5 linked regions of the Ovis aries genome follow. The main gene of each other region encodes a partner of the protein of the gene in region 2 in a complex. Links are inferred from orthologs where the notes say so. Each region holds a gene or a part of one and is shown on either strand. Other genes may lie near its edges.

Region 1 (4,652 bases), on a different chromosome or scaffold from region 2:
TTTACTCTGTAAAATGTCCCTGGGGTCAGAGAGGTATCCTGCACCTGTGAAGGTGACAAATAAATATCCTCAGGCTCTGCCTGAATCTGCTACCACCTAGAAGAAGGATTTATGACCCCCACCGCACCCCTGGCCCCCAAGATCTCATGGCTGTTTCTTCAGATCTGTTCTTGATAACAGGCAATTGACCAAAACTGTTGAGGAAGACAGAGAAATATCTAAAGAAAGAGTCTGCAGTTCCCTAAATCCACAAGGGGGAAAGCCCTGAAGTTTCTGCTGTTTTCATTTTAGCCACTTTGGTGTTCACAAATCTGGGTGGCAGACAGACAGCAAAGGCTCCCAATAGCAAAAGGCTGGAGAGAGGGGTTTCGGGGAGGGAACAGCTAACCAGGGCAAGCCACTCAGCGTTCTCCCTTCCCCAGATTTATTTTTCCAACTATTCGTGACTCCAGCAAGATGCTAGGCAGCACCCCTAAATGAGGGGTGCCCCCAACATTGCTCCATAAATAATTTAAATAGAAAAATTCAGGAGACTTACTAGAAGGTCAAGAAAATCCACTAGAGGGAGCCCAAATCAACTCAATGCCACAGGGAACCAAGCTGGTTATTTTCTCAGCACCTGTCTGAAAATCAACCACAGACAGGAATAGGGAGAAAGAGGAAATATATTAAGTCACCATAAAAGAAGATAGTCCTGTAAATACCTGGTGAAAATCCAAGCCTTTCAAGATTTACAAAATCAAAGATTTAGGAAACTGAGGCTGAGCAAGGAAAATGACTTACCCAAATTTACATATCTGGAGAAGGGTAAGGATGAGAACTCAAAAGCTCCTGTCTCTAACCAGTACCCTTTCTTCTTGATTTGCATCTATGTCAGGATAGAAGGGCATCGCAACCCACTCCAGTATTCTTATCTGGAGAATCCAATGGACAGAGGAGCCTGGAGGGCTACAGTCCATGGGGTCACAAGAGGTTGCAAGAGTCGAACACGACTGAGGTGACTTAGCACAGCACCTTGAGGTCCTAGGTCGAACTCTCCTCTGTGTCTCATTTATCTGAAATAGGAAACTCTCTCAACCACCATCTCCTGAATTTCTTTCCCTCATTCACCGTAGAATACCTTCCTGAAATCTTCAATTTTAAGCCTATTTAATAATGTCATTTTGTTGATGAGACTTTGGGAAATGTAAATCACCCCAAATGGCTACCGTGAGTTCTTTTCCTCTGTATCAGCGCAATAGCATTATTTTGGATGTGTAAATCTATAATTTGTAAGTGTCCAAATTGCAGGCAGTGCTACATAGAAGTGAATCATATTTAATCAGTTCCAAAGCCCTCTCTCCTCAAACTACACTTAGGATCTGGGGACAAGAAGAGTATTGGCCCTCTGAGACCTTGGTATTTTAAGCATTGTATTTAGCCCCTTCTACCAGACACAATTATAACGACTGAGCAAGCATGCATGTACCTTCCTAACAGCTCCATGTTTCCCAGTTGCCTGGACAACGTGCAGCCTCCAGAAGCCCAACCTTCCAGTTCTCAGTCCCACCCCCAAATGAAATTTGCCACTCTGGATTGGGTCCCAGAACACAATCTCCTCCTCCGGCTCCTAGCTGGTTGGGCCTTTTCTCTGCCCCTCCTGGAAAGTGGGTCACGCCACAGGGAGATACAACAGAGACAAGTGAGGGTCTTGGAGGAAGGAAGAGGCAGGGTAAGGATGATGGGAAGAGAGAAGGGGCCAGGTACTGAGCTTTATTTTCTCTGAAAGAGGGTTGAGAGGAATGATTTCTGTACTTAGAGCTTGACTGGTAGAGAGAAATGGGTTCATCCTTCCCCCTGGCCCCAGCCTTGCCTAAGTTTCCAAGGAAACCAAGAACTGAAGCTTCTGGAAAGTGTAAGAGACAGACTTGGAGATGAGAGCACTAATTCTCCTGGGACTCCTGGTTCCGTCTAGGGAGTCAGGAGAGTGTCTCCATGTCCAGACCTAAATATGAGCCCCCTCCCTCCCTCCAGGACAGGAAGGAGATGCCACCTAAGACCAAAGAAAAAGGGACAAAAGCTGGGGCCCAGAAGAAGAAAAGAAATGCAGGTGCTGGTGAGTCAGACTGGGTGGAGGTGGGTGCCTCCCAGCCTCTCCTTGTTCTGGCTCAGAGACCTCCAGAGAGAATTCATCCCTCTGCGTGACAAGATGGAGCTGTCTTGGCCTTCCCCCTTTATATCCATATTCGGGTGCCATGGAGCTGGGAACATGGGAAAATCAGCACCCATGAATCCCTTCTGGCTGTGTGCCTTCCTTGTATATTCATTACAATCTTTCAAATACCTACTGTGAGCTGGGTAGTGAACTCATTAGGCTTTGCTATCAGAGATCCCTCATTTAATGGTCCTTGTATCTCCCACAAAAAAAAGAGAAGTCCAGGGTATGGGAGGAGGGTGGGAGGAGGGTAGGGAAGGCTGAGATCCTGACAAGCTGAGGGTCTGCTGTCTTGCCAGGGCAGATGTGGAGGCTGAATCCATGCACAGGCTGGCACTGCTGGAAAAGGAGGTGCTCCAAGACCGCTTGGGTAAGAAGGGTAGAAGTTCGGCAACAGAGACAGTGGGCATTTGTGTATCCCTGGGAGCTTAAAGTTTTGGAACAATGGTGGAGGGCTGAGCTGATCTCTAACCATCCCCTAATGGGAAAAGATTGTCAAGAGCTGGGGTCATGAGGACAGGGTGGGCCGTGAGGGTTGATAAAGAAAGCTAACTTTTATAGCTGGAACACAGAGGGAGTTTTTCCCTCTTAGTAACAGAGTCTGTAGGATTCTGAGGCGGGGAAGGGAAACAGAATGACGATGAGAGACTGGCAGGCTGCCGCCAGGTTTCTGAAGGTGGACAGAGTCCATCAAGGCCATGGGGGCTGATTGATTGAGTGGAGCCCCCAACCAGTGCAGAGGGCTGCTCTGGACTGTTCACAGCTCTGCAGAGGGATGAAGCCCGCCGAGCCAAGGCTTCGGAAGACCAGCTGAAGCAGAGGATCAAAGACCTGGAGGCTGAACTGGAGGGGGCCCGGAGCGAAGGGAAGGCCATATATGCAGGTGTGAGGTTGATCGAGCAGGTGGGCGGGAGACAGGGGCCCGGAAGAGGACAACTGGGAGGGCCCAAGGATGCTAGAAAGGGAGACAAGGAGGACTTCGAACCGCCATACCTAGCCTCAGCCCTCCCTGCACCCACAGGAATCCTGAGGGGGCCTTCTGTGGTCTTGGGCAGGAACCTTCCGTGACATGCAGTGCTTTGTGCTTGATGTCCCGTGGACTATGAAACGCAGCCCTAGCCTTTATCTCACTCCTCCCGTGGGAGTGGGTGGGAAGGAGGGCCTGAATTCACATACTGAGCTACCATAGCGGATGGGTGTCTTATTTCCTAGCTCTGTCCCTACCTTCTCAGATCACCACAAGAATCCAGAAGACTTTTTTTTTTTAAGATTTTTTTTTTTTTAATGTGGACCATTTTTAAAGTCTTTATTGGATTTGTTACAATATTGCTTCTGTTTTATGCTTTGGTTTTTTGGCTCTGAGGAATATGGGATCTTAGCTTCCAGATCAGGGATCAAATCCGCGTCCCCTGCATTGGTAGGTGAAGTCTTAACCACTGGACTGCCAGGGAAGGCCCTCAACAGACCTTTATGCACTTGTCCACTGGACCAAGCAGAGCCCTCCCCACCCACAACTTCTGTCCTTTCTCCACTGCTCTCTCCCCATCTGGGTCCCTGGCCACCCACGGCTCTGCCAGAGATGAGTCGTCAGTGCCGGAGCCTGCAGGAGGCGATGCAGAGTCGCACCAGGAAGCTGGAGGAAGAAGTGAAGGGCCTGCAGGAGCAGTTAGGTAGGCTTCCCAGGTGGCCCTAGTGGTAAAGAACCCGCCCGCCAATGCAGGAGACTTAAAAGATGTGGGCTCCATCCCTGGGTCGGGAAGATCCCTTGGAGGAGGGCATGGCAACTCACTCTGTAATCTTGCCTGAAGAATCCCATGGGCAGAGGAGCCTGGATAGCCCCATTCCATGGGGTCACAAAGAGTCAAGCACTAACCGAGTTAGCACGCACACACAGCACACCCTGCCCTCACAGCACTTTCTCTCAGAGGATCACACTGATGTAGTCCAGCCTGAAGGGGTGGAGTTAGAATGGTCTTTCTTTAGAAAACTGCAATTTAAGCTCTCATACTGTCTTCCCCCACTGACTCTTCTACTACTTGCAACAGAAGGTTCAGGATAGCAAAAAATACCCAATCTTAACCTTTTAGTTATAAATGAAGAAGCCCTAACTTTCTCACTGCACCTCCCTCTCTCAATGGTCTCTCTAAAGACAGTTCTTACTCCCCACTGCCCACATGTCTCTCACGAGCAAAACACAGTCTCTCTTAGTTTGGCTGATGTTTAGAATGAAAGCAAGCTTGAATATAACTGTTTGAATTACTTACCTCCGTATCTTCAAGACCTAATGTGTGGTAGGTCCTGAATAACTATTTGCTAATAAATAAATGAGCTTCTAAATAAGCAACAAAGCAAAACAAAACAAAAAACAAACAAACAAACAGGAAGCTTTTGCTCTCTTCCATCTTGGTTAACAGGACAGAGTTGAAAAATTTTAGCATGGCACAGATTTTCCACAATT
Region 2 (4,785 bases):
AAAAGGGCCAATTAACATTTTACAGCCTTTTTTCTGATAAGGGTTTGTCAACCAGAAGACTTATTTGTGTTGATCTTCCCAAGGTTTGGTGCCACTCTCAGAAAGCACTAAGTAAAGTTACATTCTTACATAGCAAGGACACAAGAGGAGTGCAGTGATATATAACAAAGAGAAGTAGTTAACTCAAAAGTCTAGTGTTGCTAACATCAGAACTACTATATATCTTTTTCCATATCCCGTTTATATTGATTAATATCCTCCCAGGTGCCTAAAAGATAAAGAATATGGAGGCCTGGCAGCAGTCATTGAGTCAACAGCAAAAACCCTCTACCAATATAATTTTTAACTCTTTAGAAATGGCTCTGTATCTTTAAGATGCTTCTAAGCCTTGTGCCTCTCACGGTTGGGGGGCTGTAAGCAATTCACAAGAGGTCTGGGGAACCTGTTAGGCAAGCTAGAGAGCAATCAGAGGGGGTTTAACTGAAACATTCCTTTCAAATGCAGAAGACTAAAGCCCTGAATTGACTTTTTTCCAGAGAATATCAGAAAAGTGGAAAAGCAGAGTACAAAGGCTGGCAGATTTTTGGTTTTGGGGGGTACATGCTCAGGAAATGCCAGGGGGAACTCTGAAGTCTGATCACGACCTTGCGTATGTCAGCTTCCTTCCTCATGACCTTGTCACGGGCAGGATTCCTCACACTGGCTTCTGGCATTTCATGCCTTTTCTTTTTTGTCCCCATGCTATTTACTGAATGCTTTTTATTGTGTTAAATGTTTTTAGTCCATTCTTTTAATTATTCCATTGATTTTTAAAATATTTTTTGAGTGTTTTTTTTTTTTTTTTTTTTAGTGGTCGATTTAGGGATTATAATGTACACCTTAATTTATCATAATCTATTCTGGGATACTAAATATTTTCTATTTGATAGTCATTGTTATCTTGTCTTCTTTCAGTTATTTAAACATGGTTTCCTTTAGTTCTTTGATCGTATTTATAATAGCTTTTTTGAAGTCTTTGTCTGCTGAAACCAACATCTGGGGACACATAGAGACTGTTTCTATTGACTGCATTTTTCCCCTGAGTATGTTTACACACATCTCACAATTTTTATTGAACACTGGAAATCTTAGAGGGAAATTTTTTTTGGTAGCAACACAGTATTTTTTTTTCCTAATGATTGCTGTTTTTGTTTTGCTTGGGCATTTGGTAATTTACTTCCTGGACTAAATCTGTCAAGTCAGTCTCCTCCATGGTGTGCAGCTACTGATATCTCTGCTTAATTTTTTTTGCATATTTTTATTTTAAAACTTGGCTTCCTAGGGGTCACCTATGTATCCACATAGTTTAATATTCAGCCAAAAATCAGTCAGGGGTTGTGCTCACACTTTGAACCAGTAAGGCTCCTATTCTTGGATGGCAAGTACCCTATGCACTCAGTACACCTGTCTACACCAGGCTCCAAAGGCCAAGCATTTCTAAGTCTCTTGGGCCGGAGCAGGTCTCTGCTGCACATGCGCATAACCTCTAGTCAGTCAAGGTAAGACAGAGCTCATCAGGTTCCGCATGGATGCCGCATTCCCCAGAACTCCAAGTTTTCAGTGCACTGTTGGCGCCGAATAGAACTACAACCTTGGACTGCTACACCCGCTGGCGTTCCCTGTTCTCGTCCCACCAAGATTGCTACTTTAGCCAAGAGTCCTCCAAATCAAGTGAGCCCCATCAGACAGCGACAGTGAAGCTCTTGGTTTTCAGGGGGCTACCTGCCCTCGTTGAACTATTATGCCAGATAGAACTGAGTATGGGGAAATCAGAGAAGTCCCAGGTAAGTACAAAACAAACTTGAAGTTCGGTGGTTTTATGAATAAAAGCTCTCAGTTTGTTGTATGCCTTTGGCTGATTTTCAGAGTGCTAATTTAGCAATAGATGGTTTTGTCTAGCTTTATAGTTGCTTTGAAAAATTATTACTGTGTTAAAATATACATAAGTTCAGGGGTAAAGAATCCACCTTCAGTGCAGAAGACCGGGTTGGAGTCCTGGGTTGGGAAGATTCCGTAGAGGAGGGAATGTCAGTCCACTCAGGTATTCTTGCCCGGAAAATCTTACGGACAGAGGAGCCTTGGCGGGCTACTGTTCAAGGGTTTGCAGAGTCAAGACACAACTGAAGCGACTGACTTTGATTGAAGCAACTGAGCACTTATGCAGGCAACATAAAGTTTACCACTGTAACCATTTAAAATTCAGTGGCATTAAATTGTTACATTCATATCTATATGCAACCATCACCACCATCTGCCTTCCAGAACTTTTTCATCATCCCAAATTGAAACTCTGTACCAGTTAAGTAATAACTGCCCGTTTCCCACTCCCCCAGCCCCTGGCGACAACTATTCTACTTTGTTTTAGTTAATCCTTGCAACAAACCCTTTCTCTTGAGTATGTAAATGAAATTATATTTTAAGGACAGTGATGGAAGTTAAGGTCTAAAGTTATTATAGCACAAAAGGCCAACATTGGTACAAAGGTACATAATTTAAACACTCACTCTCATTGCATGCTCACCTTGGGATTTATAAGCTGTTGACAGAATGGTAGGGGACTTATAAAACTACTCTCTCACCCCCAACACCTATGTGTAACTTGAAAGTAGTTTAACTTAGCTGTGAGTCCACTTGACTAGTATCATCCACGTTTTACGGATGAGGAAGTGGAACCATGAAGTGGACAAGAGGAAGGGCAGAGTAGAGGCAGAGACACCAAAGAGGACGCCCAGTCGTCTTTGCAGAAGGTCGAGAGGGACGTCCAGACTGAGGCAGGGGCTGGAGATCAGGGTCCTGAGCTGGGGACGGGCTAGCGGTGGGGGGAGGGGGGACGGGATGCTGATTCCTCAGAGTGTCAAAAAGATAAGAGGACTAGATCCCATTCAACATCTCCCCATCATCTCCAGCCCTTCCCCACATGATCACTCACCTGCTCGGTGGTCTTTAAGTTTTTCTGTCCTTGGTTACCACAGCTGTTCCTGCGTTGCTAGGTTACCCATCAATCTCAGAAGGCGGGACTCGGTGTCTGATTAACTTTCCTTTTCGCCATTCGATTCCTTATTCCCCTCGGTTTGGTCCACCTCCTGAGGACTGACCAATCAGAAACAAGGTGTGTCTAACTCTCCACCAATTGGAAGAGCCGGGCGTCCCTCAGGGTTAAGCTGAACGAGTAAGGCGGGGAGAATAGGCGTGAAAGGGGCGGAGCTTCTTTGTCCCGCCTCTCTTCCCCAGGGAGGTGGGCAAGGAGGCTTGTATTAACTGGGGAAGGACGTAAGGATTGGCCAATCAGAGATCATCATGACGCCCGAGTTAGCCAATAGGGCGCGGCGAAGGGGGGACTGGGGCGGTGCCGGCCAGGCGAAGGGGACAGTAGGCGGCGGATGGGAGAGCTGGCGCAGCTGCCGTGGTGGCAGCGGCTGAGGTGGCGGTTTCTGCGGCGGCTGCTGCAGCTGCAACAGCTCCGGGCTCGGGGCTTTGGCGGCTGCGCCGGCGGGCTGTGCTGTGCTGTGCGGACCCCGGCGGTCGGTCCGGGTTGCTGGGGCGGCGCGTGTAAGAATTCGAGGCATGTGAGGGATGGTCAGAGGAGAGGGCAGAGGTCAAGGGGCAGGGGGCTCGGAGTGAAAGGTTGCGGCTGGGTATTTGGGTGTGGGAGGCGGGCAGGTCGGGCCAAGAGGGGTTGCGGGGAAGTTCATTGCTGCGCTTCTCTCCCTCCAGTCCTGATGTGGGGAGGGGGCCCAGCGTGGGGACCGCCCGAGGAAGCCCGGGGCGGGAGAGGGGGCTCAAAGTCGAACACGTGGAGTAGAATCCCGCACGCCTCTTCGCTCCCCTTTCTCTCTCAAATGCTCATCTCCCTGGAGCCCTCAGTCCACCCACCCTGCAAGAGACTCTTGCCCGGTCCGTCTGCCCGAGTGGAGCGCGGGACGGCCTGCCGGCTTTCCCTGGGACCTTTCCCTAAGGGGTGACCCTTCCATTCTGGGTCCTCTCTAGAGGGAGAAGCACTGTGACTTTAAGTAACGTCCCTTCTCTTCCCCGAGCCTCAGTTTTCCCTCTCTAAAATTATGGGTTTGAATTCAGATGAGGGGACTGGTCTGGGAAGAGAGGAAGGGTAATGGTTAAGCAGGGAGGGTGAGACTGCCTGGGTTGAAATCTGGGCTCTATTACTTCCCAGCGGTCTACTTACAAGAGGTCGGTTAATTTAACCCCTCTAAACCTCACTTTCCTCATTGTGAAGTGGGGACATCAGCTGAGTAAAATTTCCTAACAGCAACACTATTCACATATTGAGGCACATATGTCTCTGTTGTGATAACCCCCTCTGAGAGCCACAAAACTAATGCATTCATTACAAGCAAACAGTCATATATTATACAGTTAAAATAAAAGCCAGTAGCTACTATAATAACAACGATATAATTAGGAAAGCTCTTCTTGATGAGTTGAAAAGGTTAATAGCCTCTCCAGCCTTCAAAATAAATACTGGCCAGGACAAGATGTTAATAATTGTCAGGGCTGAGTGATCAATACAAGGAAGTTCATTTACATATTCTCTCTACATTTGAGTATATTTGAAAGTATCTGTGGTGAAAAGTTTAAGCCAAAAAAAAAAAAAAAGAAAAGACATAAAATGCTTTAAGACAGCCAAATGGTAGCATCTCATTTGGAATTTCCTTTTCTGTTTTCCCACCACTGAGATTTAAAAGTAAAATGAATCCCCAGATCTGGAGGAAACTTAAAAAAAAAATCTCA
Region 3 (4,741 bases), on a different chromosome or scaffold from region 2:
CATAATAATAGAAATAAATTACACAATAAATGAATCATCCTGAAACCACTTCCCTCCACCCCTGGTTCATGAAAAAATTGTCTTCCATGAACTGGTCCCTGGTGTCAGAAGGGTTGGGGACTGCTGGTTTAGGGCACAAAGGGAGGAGGCAAGACCCTCTTAAACGTCCTTTCCATCAGAGAGAAAGTCTCCACATGGTGCAAGTACGCCTGTAACACCTTTCTGACATTTGCAGATTTCCCCTTGAGGCAGAGATGTCGCAGGGCACACGTTGAGACTATTGTCAGGGCAGGAGCAGGTAGCTGACACTTATTAACCTTGCTTTGCTTTTTGTATATTTATTCAGCCAGTTACTTTCTCCTTCTGGCTGCTGCTGCTGCTGCTAAGTCGCTTCAGTCGTGTCCAACTCTGTGCGACCCCATAGACAGCAGCCCACCAGGCTCCCCCGTCCCTGGGATTCTCCAGGCAAGAGCACTGGAGTGGGTTGCCATTTCCTTCTCCAATGCATGAAAGTGAAAAGTGAAAGTGAAAGTGAAGTCGTGTCCGATTTCGAGACCCCCATGGACTGCAGCCCACCAGGCTCCTCCGTCTATGGGATTTTCCAGGCAAGAGTGCTGGAGTGGGTTGCCGTTGCCTTCTCCGAGTATTATGAAGTTTCCTATTAAATATATTTATGCTTAGTCCAGTAAGTCTAAATTCAAAGAAACTTATTCATAATTATCTTTTAGACCTCTTAGATATGACACCTATATGCTCAGTCACTAAGTTGCTAACAGGGCTGGTTCCCAGTGCCTCACGAGACTGGGTGGCACCATGGTTGGCAACACTGGAGACAAACAGTTGTTGTTTCCCAAGCCAGGTGTTGAACCTGTGTCTCCTACATCTCCTGCATTAGCAGGCAGATTCTTTACCTCTGGCGCCATTCATAACAGCAAGGAAGAAAAAAAAAGAGGTAACATCACCATACTTGGAACACAGAGAGGGCAAGAATGGGGCTGCCTCTAAGGCACCTGAATAAGGGGCAGGCGTCAGTGACACAGCCTACAGTCTTCTGGCCAAGCCCTTGCGTCATCTCTCAGGATGGAGGACCTTTGTGGGGGCTGGTGGGGGGTGGATGGACACTGAAATGCCATATATGCTCATGCGCCCTAGGGAAGGCCTTGTCTGCAGCCAGAGAGCCCAGCCTCACTACAGTGGACCAAAGATCCTGTCCCCTTATAATTCCCGAAGTGATAACACCAGGCACATCTTTTTCTTTTTTTTTTTTTCTGTTTCAGCAAGGCTGGGTGACCCCCTGGATGACTCCCTGATGGGGAGTCTTTCTGGTCACCAGAAAGACCAAGCCGTGGCTGGAAGCTTGGAATTTCCAGCCCCTCCTCCATTCTCCAGAGACAAGAGAAGAGTAGAAATGGGCTCAATAATTGATCAAGCCTCTGTGAGGAAGCTTCCATAAGACTCTCAACAGTAGGATGTGCAGAGAGCCTCCAGGTTGGAAAGGCAATGTCCTCTTCGGGGACAGAAGCTCCTGCACTCGGGACCTTCACAGACCTCCCCAGACCTCGCATTATGTATCTCTTCACCTGCCTGGCCATCTGTGTCCTCTACTGTGTCCTTTAATAAACTGGTAAATGTAATGAGGTGTTTCCCTGAGTTCTCTGTGCCTCTCTAGCAAATAAATAGAACCCGAGAGAGGGGTCATGGGAACCCCCAATCGGTAGCTGCATTGAACAGAAGTTGTGGGTAACCCGGGACCGACTACTTGCTTGCTATTGGCATCTGGAGTGAGTGGGAAGAGTCTTGTGGGACTGAGTCTTTAACCTGTGGGATCTGATGCCACTCCAAGGAGGTAGTGTCAGAATTGAGTTGAATTGTAGGACACCCAAGTGGTGTCATGGAGCATTTCTTGGGACTTCCCTGGTGGTCGAGTGGTTAAGAATCCTCCTTGCAATGCGGGGGACGTCGGTTTGATCCCTGGTCAGGGAACTAAGATCCCACGTGCAGTGGAGCAACTAAGCCCATTCCTCAAAACTACTGAGCCCACGCGTCACGACTAGGGAGTCCTTGAGCTGCAAAGAAAGATCCCACAGGACGCAATGTAGATCTGTGTGCGATGCAACTAAGAACTGAGGTAGCCAAATACATAAATGAATATTTCAAAGAGGAATTACTCAGTGAGGGGAAAACCCACATATTTGGTACCAGAAGTGTCAGAAGCAAAGGGTTTTTTCTGAGAAGTAAAGGAGACACACAGAAGGTGGAAGACTGAGTTTTTCCATTACGGACCCTATGAGGCAGATACTGTTATGATACCCACTTTTCAGAGGAGAACACTGAGGCCTAGAGAGGTTAAGTGCTTGCCCTAAAGTCACAGAACTAGTAAGGAGCAGAAATATACATGAACCTGTATATTTCTGGCTCTGAAATCCATGCATTTAAGGGCCTAATAAAATGTAAAAATACTAGAAGGAATGGATGGTTTAGTGGAGGGGGAGTGAGTAAGGAAAGACATAGGAGGCGAGGAGGCCAAGGTGTCAGTGGGCAGCCACTGAAATGGGCTCTAAGCCAAGGTCACAGAACACGTCATCAGAGGTGCTGAGCCAGGACTTGCAACGCTTATTCCCTGCATCAGCCTGCCCCGTCAGCTAAAGCACAGTTTGGGGAAGGCAGTCCCGCCTTAAAGTTCCTCCAACTCTGTGCCCAGCAGCGCTCCCCACCCCACAAGCCCTTCCCTGAGTCTTTCTCCCCAGCAACAACCTTCTCTTCACCATCACACACACACACACACACACACACACACACACACACACACACACACACACACTGAAAACTTCCCCAGAAAGTTTGGGGTTGATAGGCCCCAGGCAGAAGAATCCCCCTTACCACCAGAGCCCACGCCCTTGCCCTCCTCCCTGCCAGGTGGGGTTCAGCCACCCCACACCCCAGCTCCCATCTCACCCTTGAGGACAGCCTGTACCATCTGTTAGCCTGTCTCCATGGTAACAGCTTTCCAGGCCGAGGGCAGGTCCTGGGAGAGGAGGCTTCTGGGAAATGTAGTCTTTTGTCACTAACCAGGTCTGGGTCCAGGAGACCCACTGCAGTATGTCCCTCAGCCAGCGGTGGGCTGGAAGCAGCTCATGTGCCAGTTTGCAAGAACTGATGGTTAAAGCTTTAGGAATGTTTGTGAACCCACTGATGAACCCTGTCATTAGTAAAATTTAAATTATAAAAACATACAAGTAAATAGACTATACTAAAAGCAGAGGTAAGAAGTACTCAAAACTCATCACTTCCTAATTATTTTACTGCATTTTATTGTTATCTGAGCTCCAGAGGTTATTTGTCCCTATTGTTATCTATACGATGAAAATATTATGTAAGGGTAAGCTGCTCTGCATCTTTTTCCAGCTCTGTTCAGTGATGTCACATAGGTAGCTTAAAATGGTCCATGAGCTTACTTATACCACAGAGACTGGCAAATGCTGCAGAAAAGGACTTTTTCTCTTCTCACGCGTGCTAAGTCGCTTCAGTCGTGTCTGACTCTTGGCGACCCTGTGGACTGTAGCCTGCTAGGCTCCTCTGCCCATGGGATTCTCCAGGCAAGAATACTAGAGATTTCTCTCATCAAGTGTTGTTAAACATTTACCAGGACAGCACTGCTTCCGCTTGCATGCTCAGTATGGCCTTCATCAAACAGATAGAAAGCAGTGTGTGTCCTGGCATGGCCCGCCTGTCATTGTGGACAGAGTCAGGCTGCCCAAGTCCTGGTTCTAGTCGAGGCTGGACCACTGATTTAGTATAAATCTCATGGCACAGGGAAAACTTACTTGTTAAGTTAGTGGCCCATGAAATTGCTTACTTTAATTTCTTTTAAATTCCAAGGAAAAAATGAATAGACCAATAATGCACATTATGAGTCCACCTGGGATTATATTTGTCTTCGTACCAATGTAGTCACAAAAGATAACTTCTTTTTTTTTTTTTTTTTGAAGGAAAGGGCCCATAAAACTTGTGATGCTGCCTTGTCGGGGTCCGTGGGGTCCAGAGAAATCCTGCAGATGTCTGGACGAGATTGTATAGTTGCTGCTATTGGTGAAAATGTAGGCATCACCTCAATTCTTGATAATAAAGAACAATTTTTTTTCTTCTGGCTGGAACATTATGCAGTCATATAAAATAAAGTGAGAAGGATAAATTAGATGGAGGGAAAATTCCTAAGATGGCATGTGGACTTCAGTCCTGGAGTTCATCCTGGAATTACCTCTCTGGGGAATTCACCTGGGAGGCAGCCAGGAAGGGAAGAGGAAAAGGAAAATGTGATATGCGCCACTGGCGGAATGGAACATAGGTCTCCTTTTTCCTTTTGTCTCGTGCAACACCTAATTTCCTCCACATAGTTGTTTATTCCTCTTTACCCATTCCCAGCCCACATAGGCATCATTCGGACGCTCCCCAACTCCCCACCAAACGAGCATTCTTTTTCATGCTGTCAGCATTTTTAATTGGTGTTAATGATATTGTATTAATATTTTTCTGTTTCTTAGACACTTGCTAAGATCTGTGTTTTTAACATCCACCCACTGGACTTCCTTGGCGGTCCAGTGGCTAAGAGTCTGGGCTCCCAAAACAGGGGGCCTGGGTTTGATCCCTGGTCAGGGAACTAGATCCTGCATGCTCCAACTAAGACCTGTCATAGCCAAATGAACAAAGAAAATAAATAAATATTAAACAAACAAACAAAAGC
Region 4 (4,528 bases), on a different chromosome or scaffold from region 2:
TAAATACTATCAATAGCTAGGCTAAAATAACATCTACCCCACCTGCCTTTGGGCTTAGGTAATGGCACCCCACTCCAGTACTCTTGCCTGGAAAATCCCAGGGAACGGAAAGCCTGGTGGGCTGCCGTTTATGGGGTCGCACAGAGTCGGACACGACTGAAGCGACGCAGCAGCAGCAGCAGCACGGCTTATTGACAAGGGGCTTATCTTCTTTGGCCTCACTGTTGCTTGTGATTTAAGTAGGCAGGCAGTACAGCTGAGAAAACAGTAAATTGTGCCATACCCAAGGTGGCAGGGCCTGTCTGCAATTTCTTACTACCCTAGTGCCCTTTTCCGAGTTTCTCTCAGGCCAGTAGTACAAGGTTCGATCAAATGTTATCCTGCTTGTTTTCGAATGAGTCTTAATGCTACATAAGAACGCGGTGCATTTTTTGTCGCAGTGCGACAATTGACACGTACAAAACACCCAGGAAATAGTGCTTTTCAAGGGACAGTAGTCCTTCGAAAGTTTAAATGTGCTTCTGTGCTCTTAACTTTCATTCCTCCCCCCTCACTCCCTTTCCTACCTGTTTTTCTCTGCTCTCCTCTTTTTTCTGTATGTGATTGCGGGTAGTAATGGAGGGAGTGCAGCCCTACTGAAAACCGCTACATAAGACAACGGTTCCTTGTTGGATATACATTTATTGATGGCAGGGGGTTTTCACATTCTAGAGACGATAGAGGCTGAATACACAAAGTAGGAGCTCAAACACTAATGGATGATGGGAATTCCTCCGCGGCTCAGTGGTAAAGAGTCCGCCTGCCAGTGAAGGAGACAAAGGTTGGATTTCTGATCTGGGAAGATCTCACGTGCCACGGAAGAACTAAGCCTGTGTGCTGCAACTATTGAGCCTGTGCTCTGGAGCCTGGAGACTGTAACTACTGCAGCCAGGAGCGGCAACTACCAGAGCCCTTGCGCCCCAGAGCCCTTGCTCCGCAATCAGAAGCCCATGCACTGCAACAAGGAGTAGCTCCCGCTCGCGGCAGCTAGAGAAAAACGCCTGCTGCAAAGAAGACCCAGCACAGCCAAAAGTAAAGTTATACATATTAATTTTTAAAAAGAATGGATGACAAGCAGGTGGATGCAATGTACTTTAGTTCAGAATTTCTGAGTGAACCTATTATTCTACCCCCTCCATCGAGGAAAAGACAACGCTTGGATCCTCGGAGCTAGCACAGTGATTGGCATAGAGTAGACATTGAATTACATTAGCTGAATACGGTGATTTTGAGGATTATTTATTTGATGGATGAATTAATCATAGGGTAGGTAAGTGATGAATCACAACTTGGTTCAGCTCTTAAGTCTTCCGGCCTCTGTTAATACCACCTGAGCCTTAGTGGGGGATTCAATACAGTCCTCACCGTAATTGCAGCAGAGGAATAAAACCCCAAGCTGAGACAACGGCGCTAAGAACACCAGTGCGCCCGGCCTTAGGGGCTGCGCGCGCAACCACGCCAGCTGCGGGTCAGGTGACTGCATTTCCCTGGCAACAGCTTTGTTGTTAGCAACCAAACTGTAGTCCCACGGTGGTCCAGGCAGGGCTGCCCGGGGGGCGGAAGGCACCTGCCATGAATCCGCCAGGATCCCTGGGGGTCCTGGAGGAGAAGGAGGATGAACATTTAGCCACCCCAATTCTCGGACCCTCCGTACATTCTGATAATCCTCAGGAGCGGATCCAGGCCCGGCGCCTGCGCATTGCGGCGCGCCTGGAAGCTCGGAGGCGGTGAGTCAGGGTTTGGGCGCGTTCTTCCAAGGAGCGCCCGGGGTGCAGGTGACCTGGGTGCTGGAATGAGGGGGTGGCTTCTCCAGGCCGGAGCCCCTGTGGTGAGGGGCTCGCGTGCCCTACGTGTGAGCTGGTCTTGCTTCTTGATGAGATAGAAAACTTTTCTGCCAGAAGGTTCAAACAAAGTATGTGATATTAAAGCATTGAATACACTTAGCAAAGTCAAAGATGGAAACAGGAATCCCTCCAGCACGTTCACGGAGAGCCTGCTGCGCCAGGCACTGTGGGCCGTACCTGAAGATGTTGGGGCTTCATGACCGGTCCCCCGAGATCGTTCTTTCCTCCTTGCCTCCCAGCGTGCCTTCCTTCCACAAGGGGTTACAGAGCAGACCTCGGCTATCACTTCTGTTGGTTTCAGTGGCTTAACTGGTTGTGTGACACAAAACCGTTTTCCTGCAGAGTCTGAGGCTGATAACTGTACCATTCTCAGGCTGGGGTTGCCACCCTCGTCCACTCACAGACTTTGTGGCCTGTCTTAAGAAGGGGGATCGAGGGGAACTTGCGTGAACCTGTGACTGCCTGAACACCGCACTGTGTGACAGCGCTTATACCTCGTCCTGCTGGTCAGGGTCAGCTGCCTTGCCAAGATGGTGCTTCTCTTGTTGTCTGCCGGTCTTTGGACACAAGGGGCCCAGAGTGATGTGGCTGTGTTCCAACAAAAACTTAACTTAAGGACACTGAAATTTGCATTTCATATAATGTTCGTGTGTCACAGAATATTCTTCATCTTTAGATCTTTTTTTTTAAAATTGATACACTTCATATTTTAGAGCAGTTTTAGGTTCACAGAAGAATTGAGTGGAAACTACAGAGGTTTCCCATTTACCCCCTACTTCTACACATGTATGAAGCTACCCTGGTGGCTCAGATGGTAAAGAATCTAACTGCAATGTGGGAGGCCTGGATTTAATCCCTGGGTTGGGAAGATCCCTAGAGAAGGAAATGGCAACCCACTCCAGTATCCTTGCCTGGAGAATCCCATACAGAGGGGCCTGGTGGGCTACAGTCCATGGGGTCACAAAGAGTCACACCCAACTGAGTGACTAACACGCACTCTACACATGTATAACCTCCTCCACTATCAATATTCTCCACCAGAATGGTACATTGGTACAACAGTTGGATCTTGATAAATATATAATGACATGTATCTACCCATCACAGTACTGTACTGAAGAGTTTCACTGCCCTAAAAATCCCCTGCACTCTGCCTATTCGTCTTGATCTTTTCAAAAAACCATTTGAAATGTAAAAAAATCATTCTTCACTCCTGAGCCATACAAAAGCAAGTGAATCAGATTTGGCCCATCAGCCAAAGTTTGGCAGCCCTGAGATAACAGATCAGTGTGATGCTCTGTGGGATATCCAAGTGGTCCTGATCTATCTAGACTCTAGTTTGTCAGCTCAGGAGCATTGACATGGCCCTGCAAGTATGAGGACTGTATGAGTGTGTATTATCTGTTCCTCCTCGATATGAACTTCCTAATCCTTTTTCCTGACTGAGGTAGAAATAGCATATTTGGCTCAATCAGTGGCCACATTCCAGGTACCTAAGGCCACACTTATATGTTCAAGCAAGGACCTGCATGACAGCTGCAATTAGGACTGCTGCTTGCTTGAGCTTGCAGTAATTGACAATCATTTTCTTGGCTCCATCCATCCAGTTTTTGCAGGGACCTGACCAGTGAATTAAATGGTGATTTGATAGGCACCACCACTCCCACATCTGTGAGATTCCTAATTGTACTGTGTGCTCAACCACTCAGTCATGTCCAGCTCTTTGTGACCCTGTGGACTGTAGCCCACCAGGCATCTCTGTCGATGGAATTTTCCAGGCAAGAATACTGCAATGGACTGCCATTTCCTTCTCCAGGGGATCTTCTCAACCCAGGGATTGAATCCACGTCTCCTGCATTGGCAGGCAGCTTCTTTGCCACTGAGCCACCTGGGAAGTCCTTGAGATCCCTAAGGGTGATGCTAATCCCTACCGTAGCCCTGGTATACAGTATTGCTTTTTGTGCACTTGGGTGCAGTTTTGGAGTGTCCATTTGACCTTCCATATGGCTATAGCTCTTACCCACAGGCCAACAACCTAGTGTGAGAATTTCTCAACTTTCTAAGCATGTTAAGATCACCCTTGTTGCTCTTTAGGGAATGGTTTGGAGGAACAAAGATCCTACATGCCACTTGGAGTAAAAAAACTCTGCCTTTCCAATGCAGGGGAGGCAGGTTCCATGGGGAGCGAGCTAAGATCCTACATGTACTCCCTGCATTGGAAACTCAGAGTCTTAACCACTGGACCACCAAGGAAATCCTGGATTGTGTTCTTTTTAGTATTCGAATTTTTATCCCTATGGAATATATTTTTGTATATGGTGAAATATACTATGAAAATTTAAAATTAAATCCCCCAGGCCATGCACAGCTCAGCAGAAAGATTTAAAAACAAAACAAAACAAAACAAGAAGTTAGGAAAAAAAGTGAAAGGTTTTACTTCCTAGAATTTAAACTTCATTTTCTCTACATTTTTTGCCATCCCAGGGAAGCTCTTGGAGAATATTTAGACGGGAAGAAGGAGAGTGAGGAAGATCAAAGCAAGAGCTACAAACAGAAAGAAGAAAGCAGACTGGTAGGAAATGGGGTATAAATGGGTCCCACCAGTCCAGTAGGACCCAGACGGAGGCTTCACTCTTTCTGTGCTG
Region 5 (4,803 bases), on a different chromosome or scaffold from region 2:
CGTGTCCAACTCTGTGCGACCCCATTGACGGCAGCCCACCAGGCTTTCCCACCCCTGGGATTCTCCAGGCAAGAACACTGGAGTGGGTTGCCATTTCCTTCTCTAGAAAAATGCTCTACAAAACCTTAAAATCATACTCTAAGAAGCTGACTCCTCCTTTGAAACAATTAACAGCTGTAATTTTTCTAAGTGCAGTAGACATCTACATCTAACACTACCCTAAAATTGCTTAAAATCCCAAAGTAAAAACCACAACAGTATCAATTACTTTACCAACTTAAAATGAGACAAATCAAGTAAAAACTCCAGAGTATAATACTATAAACTTACTTCTTTGCTTTGTACACATAAGCACATCTCTTGCCTAAATAGAATTCAGTTTCATCTCGAGCATATACACCTTCAATTTTCAGGAGAGCAGTGTGTTCCCTTTGGTTCCGTAGACCCCGTTTATAGCCAGCAAAAATTGCCTTGGACCACAGCCTAAGACAAAATACACTGTTAATTCTAAGCTGTTAAAATCTCACTTAACTTCAACAAGCAACAGCTATGGTTTGACTTGTGATGATCCCCACCTAAATTTACCTACACCAAACATCTATTTTTTTTCCCCACCAGACTTAAACTTACATTTACGATCATGCCTTATAAACAAGTACACTTGTAAGTACAAAGCAATGATATTTAAAACACATACCTTCCAGACATATTTGTCGTTTTAGAAGTCCCGTTCCCAGCAGGCCTGCAAACAAAAATACTCAGTTTAAAACCCCGCAACGCCCGTTTCCAACCTACTAGCTTCCTGTGGAACAGCACCCCAAACTCAAAGAATGCTAAGTAACTAAGCAAACGCCAAAATGAAGATAACTAAAGTGGCAAAATTCTACAGTACAAGACATAACTGCTAGAAACACCAAAAGAAAGTCTTAAGAACAACACTTTTACACACTTAAGTCGCTCAGTCGTGCGACTCAAGAGTCGCGACTCTTTGCGACCCCCACGGACTGTAGCCTGTCAGGCTCCTCCGTCCTAGGGATTTTCCAGGCAAAAGTGCTGGAGTGGATTGCCATTCCCCTCTCCAGGGGGCCTTCCTGACCCAGGAATCGAACCCGAGTCTCCCGTATTGCAGGCAGCCGCTTTACCGTGGGAGCCACCAGGGAAGCCACACTGAACGGGAAAGAAAAGCTAAGGAAAGACACAGTAAACATGCAGAACACAGGTTTGAGGTGGCAGTAAATGGACAAAGAACCCTGCCTAAAGGTGCCGCTGCTGCCAGACAAAATGCATCTGTTTTGTATTTTACTCCGCTAGGGCCCGGAAGCAACTGGTTACCGGAGCACCCATTCTCGGAGGTCAGGGAACCAGCACCATCAGTCCCATATCTCCTCCATCCTGTCCTCCCCGTTGCTGGAAATCACAGAAATCGTTAGCTGGTAGAGCCTCGGAGTCACACCCGTGCCTCGTCCGAGGGATATAGCCGAGCCTACCCCACTTATTTGCCCCCAAAGTTCAGCTGCAGGAAGTCTACACACCTTCACAGGGTCCAAGATGGCTGAAAGAGACCAGCGAGGACCCGCCGCGTGGTCTTGTGGGTAAATACATCTCCGCCCCGCCCCCGTTTAGGTAACTTCCGCGACCGCCAAAAAAGCCTCAGAAATCGCCTTCTGACTGAAATGAACCACGCTCAAAATCACCTGTACAATTCTCTCCCTAAGTCCTTTTATCTTTGTAAGCTGCAAAATGTATTATTTTGGAACACAGGGAGGCAAAATAGTAGCCAGCTAAAAGAGAAGAAAAGGTCCTCCGAAGCTGTCCGTTGCCACAGAAACACCTTAGCTTGGTTCCGACGGCCTCCGGGGGTGTAGTTGGCAAAGTGAAGCCGGAGGGGAGGACGACCTACGCTTCGAGTACCCTAGAACTGGTTCGCCAACAAGCGGGTATTTTTCCTTCTTACCACTTAGGAGTAGGGCAAACGGAAGCTCTCGGATCCTAGCCTGGAAGAGAAAGACCGCGAGCAAGAAAGGAGGAGAAAGCTCTTAATTCTCTATACCTTTCCTACCCCTTTGCATGCATATATACTCAGTCGCGTCTATTTGCGACTCTATGCACCGTCCTCCACCAGGCTCTACCCTTGGGATTCTCTAGGCAAGAATACTGGAGTGGGTTACCGTGTTCTCCAAGGGATCTTCCCCACCCTAGGAGCTTACCTGCATCTCTTGGATTGGCCGGCGGGTTCTTTACCACCAGCGCCACCTGGGAAGCCCTCTTCTGCCTTTCTGCGACCTTGTTCAGTCGTGTCCGACTCTTTGCGACCCTATGGACTGCAGCGCGCCAGGCTCCTCTGTCCATGGGGTTCTTCAGGCAAGAATACTGGAATGGGTTGCCATTCCCTCCTCCAGGGGATCTCTCCGATCCAGGGATCGAACCAGCGTCTCCTTTGGCTCCTGCATTGCAAGCGAATTCTTTACACATTGAGCCACCTGGAAACCACCCTCCGCCCCTTACCACCCTTTTAATCCTTTCCTCCTTTTACCCCTTTATCTCTTTAGAGAAATGACTTAAGTTCTTACCGCCGTTCTTCGTTTTGACTCCGAGGGTGAAGAGAACATCCCTGACAAAGTCTTGTTGCCTTTTAAGGAGAACTCAGCTGCCAAAGGGCTTTCCTGGTGGCTCAGCGGTAAAAAAAAAAAAAAAATTCCCCTGCCTATGCAGGAGATGCAGGTTCCATCCCTGGGTTAGGAAGATCCCCTGGAGAAGGAAATGGCAACCCACTACAGTATTCTTGCCTGGGAAATCTCATGGACAGTGGAGCCTGCCAGGCTAGAGTCCATGGGGTCACAAAAAAGTTGGACACGACTTAACAACGACAGCAGTTGCTAAACTCCCAAGTGCCTGCCACCTAGCCCATGTCCAATTGGTCTTCAGTAAATATTTGTGCACTGGAATGGGATAGCTTAGTGGATGCCTGAGATTTACCTTTCCTAATTATTGCACATTATTTGTGTTGCTCTTTGGAGAATCCATATCAATAACCTCAGATATGCAGATGACACCACCATTACAGCAGAAAGTGAAGAGGAGCTAAAAGCCTCTTGATGAAAGTGAAAGAGGAGAGCGAAAAAGTTGGCTTAAAGCTCAACATTCAGAAAATGAAGATCATGGCATCCGGTCCCATCACTTCATGGGAAATAGATGGGAAACAGTGTCAGACTTAATTTTTGGGGGCTCCAAAGTCACTGCAGATGGTGACTGCAGCCATGAAATTAAGACGCTTACTCCTTGGAAGAAAAGTTATGACCAACCTAGATAGTATATTCAAAAGCAGAGACATTACTTTGCCAACTAAGGTCCGTCTAGTCAAGGCTATGGTTTTTCCTGTGGTCATGTATCGATGTGAGAGTTGGACTGTGAAGAAGGCTGAGCACCGAAGAATTGATGCTTTTGAACTGTGGTGTTGGAGAAGACTCTTGAGAGTCCCTTGGACTGCAAGGAGATCCAACCAGTCCATTCTGAAGGAGATCAGCCCTGGGATTTCTTTGGAAGGAATGATGCTAAAGCTGAAGCTCCAGTACTTTGGCCACCTCATGAGAATGAGTTGACTCATTGGAAAAGACTGATGCTGGGAGGGATTGGGGGCAGGAGGAGAAGGAGACGACAGAGGATGAGATGGCTGGATGGCATCACTGACTCGATGGATGTGAGTCTGAGTGAACTCCAGGAGACGGTGATGGACCGGGTGGCCTGGCATGCTGCGATTCATGGGGTCACAAAGAGTCGGACACAGCTGAGCGACTGAACTGAACTGATGGATTCATTCTTTTTTTCCAACAGTTTGTTGAATGACTGACTACCATGTACGAAATTTTCTTCTTGGCTTGGAGGATGCTGCGGTAAACAGAACAACAGAAATCTGTGTCCTCATGGAGCTTACATCCTAGTAGGAGAGCAAGACAAGGAGCAAGTAAAATAGAAGGTGGTGTGAGAAAAAAATGGTTCATGGAGCTTGGCTCTAGCTGGGCAAAGTGGTAGATACACAGCAAAATGCCACTGGTTGAAGCTGGTACCTGATGGACCAGTAGGACTTTACAAGGTGGAAGAGATTAGGGGAAGAGTGGTTCAAGCTGAAAGAATAGCATATGCAAACACCCTGAGTTAGAAGAGAGCATGATTCTTTAGAAGAAAGAGGCCCACTGAAGCTGGACCCATGAGAGCAATAAAAGGGCAGTGCTAGATGCATCTGGAGAGGAACAGAGGAGCAGCCCTATGGTCCAAGTTAAGAATTTTAGTTTTTTTCTTAAGTTAATGGGAAACCATTGAGAGGTTCTAAGAAATACAATGAAATTTTCAACTTTATACGATGAGCCCTTTATTTCAAAAAGATCACCTTTAATTTGGAAGCTGTTAGAGTAGTTCAAGCAAGAAACAACAGCTAGATTCAGCAGGGTATTGGGGGAAATAGAAATTGAAAGTAAAATCCACAGGACCTGGTGATGATTTGAATTGGGGGAATGCTGATGTCAGGATGAAGGAGGAAGCAGAAATGACTCCTGAGTTTCTAGCGTTGAGGAATGAGCAGCCAGAACTTGAAAGCACTAAGCATAGGCCTTTATTACTTATGTGAGGCATACTTACTGATGCCCCAGGCCTGAGAAATAAAGAACAACGCAGCAAAAGAACAAAATCTTAACAGCATATTACTTGCTTCTAAGACTGCCCTTGTACTGGAAAATTTAGCTAGTTTGGAATATTTTTTTTTCCACTTTATGTAAAGATTCTTTCAGTTCAGTTCAGACACTCAGTTGT

Evidence for each region.
Region 1: IQCD (region 2) and CCDC153 share a complex: the UniProt entries of both Homo sapiens proteins name them as parts of the nexin-dynein regulatory complex. The link is inferred for Ovis aries from reciprocal best matches to the Homo sapiens genes DRC10 and DRC12.
Region 3: IQCD (region 2) and DRC7 share a complex: the UniProt entries of both Homo sapiens proteins name them as parts of the nexin-dynein regulatory complex. The link is inferred for Ovis aries from reciprocal best matches to the Homo sapiens genes DRC10 and DRC7.
Region 4: IQCD (region 2) and DRC1 share a complex: the UniProt entries of both Homo sapiens proteins name them as parts of the nexin-dynein regulatory complex. The link is inferred for Ovis aries from reciprocal best matches to the Homo sapiens genes DRC10 and DRC1.
Region 5: IQCD (region 2) and IQCG share a complex: the UniProt entries of both Homo sapiens proteins name them as parts of the nexin-dynein regulatory complex. The link is inferred for Ovis aries from reciprocal best matches to the Homo sapiens genes DRC10 and DRC9.

What each region holds. Positions count from the first base shown.
Region 1 is NC_056068.1:29,498,690-29,503,341, reverse strand, and holds the start of CCDC153 (coiled-coil domain-containing protein 153), read left to right. Parts: upstream 1-1,670; 5' UTR 1,671-1,894; intron 1,895-2,013; 5' UTR 2,014-2,025; coding exon 2,026-2,095; exon of another isoform or gene 2,096-2,380; coding exon of another isoform or gene 2,381-2,420; intron 2,421-2,493; exon of another isoform or gene 2,494-2,498; coding exon 2,499-2,564; intron 2,565-2,933; coding exon 2,934-3,077; intron 3,078-3,615; coding exon 3,616-3,864; intron 3,865-4,652. UniProt on the Homo sapiens protein: Component of the nexin-dynein regulatory complex (N-DRC), a key regulator of ciliary/flagellar motility which maintains the alignment and integrity of the distal axoneme and regulates microtubule sliding in motile axonemes.
Region 2 is NC_056070.1:61,298,155-61,302,939, forward strand, and holds the start of IQCD (dynein regulatory complex protein 10), read right to left. Parts: upstream 3,071-4,785; 5' UTR 2,969-3,070; intron 1-2,968. UniProt on the Homo sapiens protein: Component of the nexin-dynein regulatory complex (N-DRC), a key regulator of ciliary/flagellar motility which maintains the alignment and integrity of the distal axoneme and regulates microtubule sliding in motile axonemes.
Region 3 is NC_056067.1:25,268,516-25,273,256, reverse strand, and holds the start of DRC7 (dynein regulatory complex subunit 7), read right to left. Parts: upstream 2,983-4,741; 5' UTR 2,978-2,982; coding exon 2,956-2,977; intron 1,635-2,955; exon of another isoform or gene 1,278-1,634; intron 1-1,277. UniProt on the Homo sapiens protein: Component of the nexin-dynein regulatory complex (N-DRC) a key regulator of ciliary/flagellar motility which maintains the alignment and integrity of the distal axoneme and regulates microtubule sliding in motile axonemes.
Region 4 is NC_056056.1:33,576,541-33,581,068, forward strand, and holds the start of DRC1 (dynein regulatory complex protein 1), read left to right. Parts: upstream 1-1,546; 5' UTR 1,547-1,611; coding exon 1,612-1,766; intron 1,767-4,367; coding exon 4,368-4,455; intron 4,456-4,528. UniProt on the Homo sapiens protein: Component of the nexin-dynein regulatory complex (N-DRC) a key regulator of ciliary/flagellar motility which maintains the alignment and integrity of the distal axoneme and regulates microtubule sliding in motile axonemes.
Region 5 is NC_056054.1:191,026,317-191,031,119, forward strand, and holds the start of IQCG (dynein regulatory complex protein 9), read left to right. Parts: upstream 1-1,821; 5' UTR 1,822-1,937; intron 1,938-2,207; exon of another isoform or gene 2,208-2,444; intron 2,445-2,570; exon of another isoform or gene 2,571-2,616; intron 2,617-3,831; 5' UTR 3,832-3,973; intron 3,974-4,803. Other genes in the region: RPL35A (large ribosomal subunit protein eL33), read right to left, coding at 331-498, 698-708. UniProt on the Homo sapiens protein: Component of the nexin-dynein regulatory complex (N-DRC), a key regulator of ciliary/flagellar motility which maintains the alignment and integrity of the distal axoneme and regulates microtubule sliding in motile axonemes.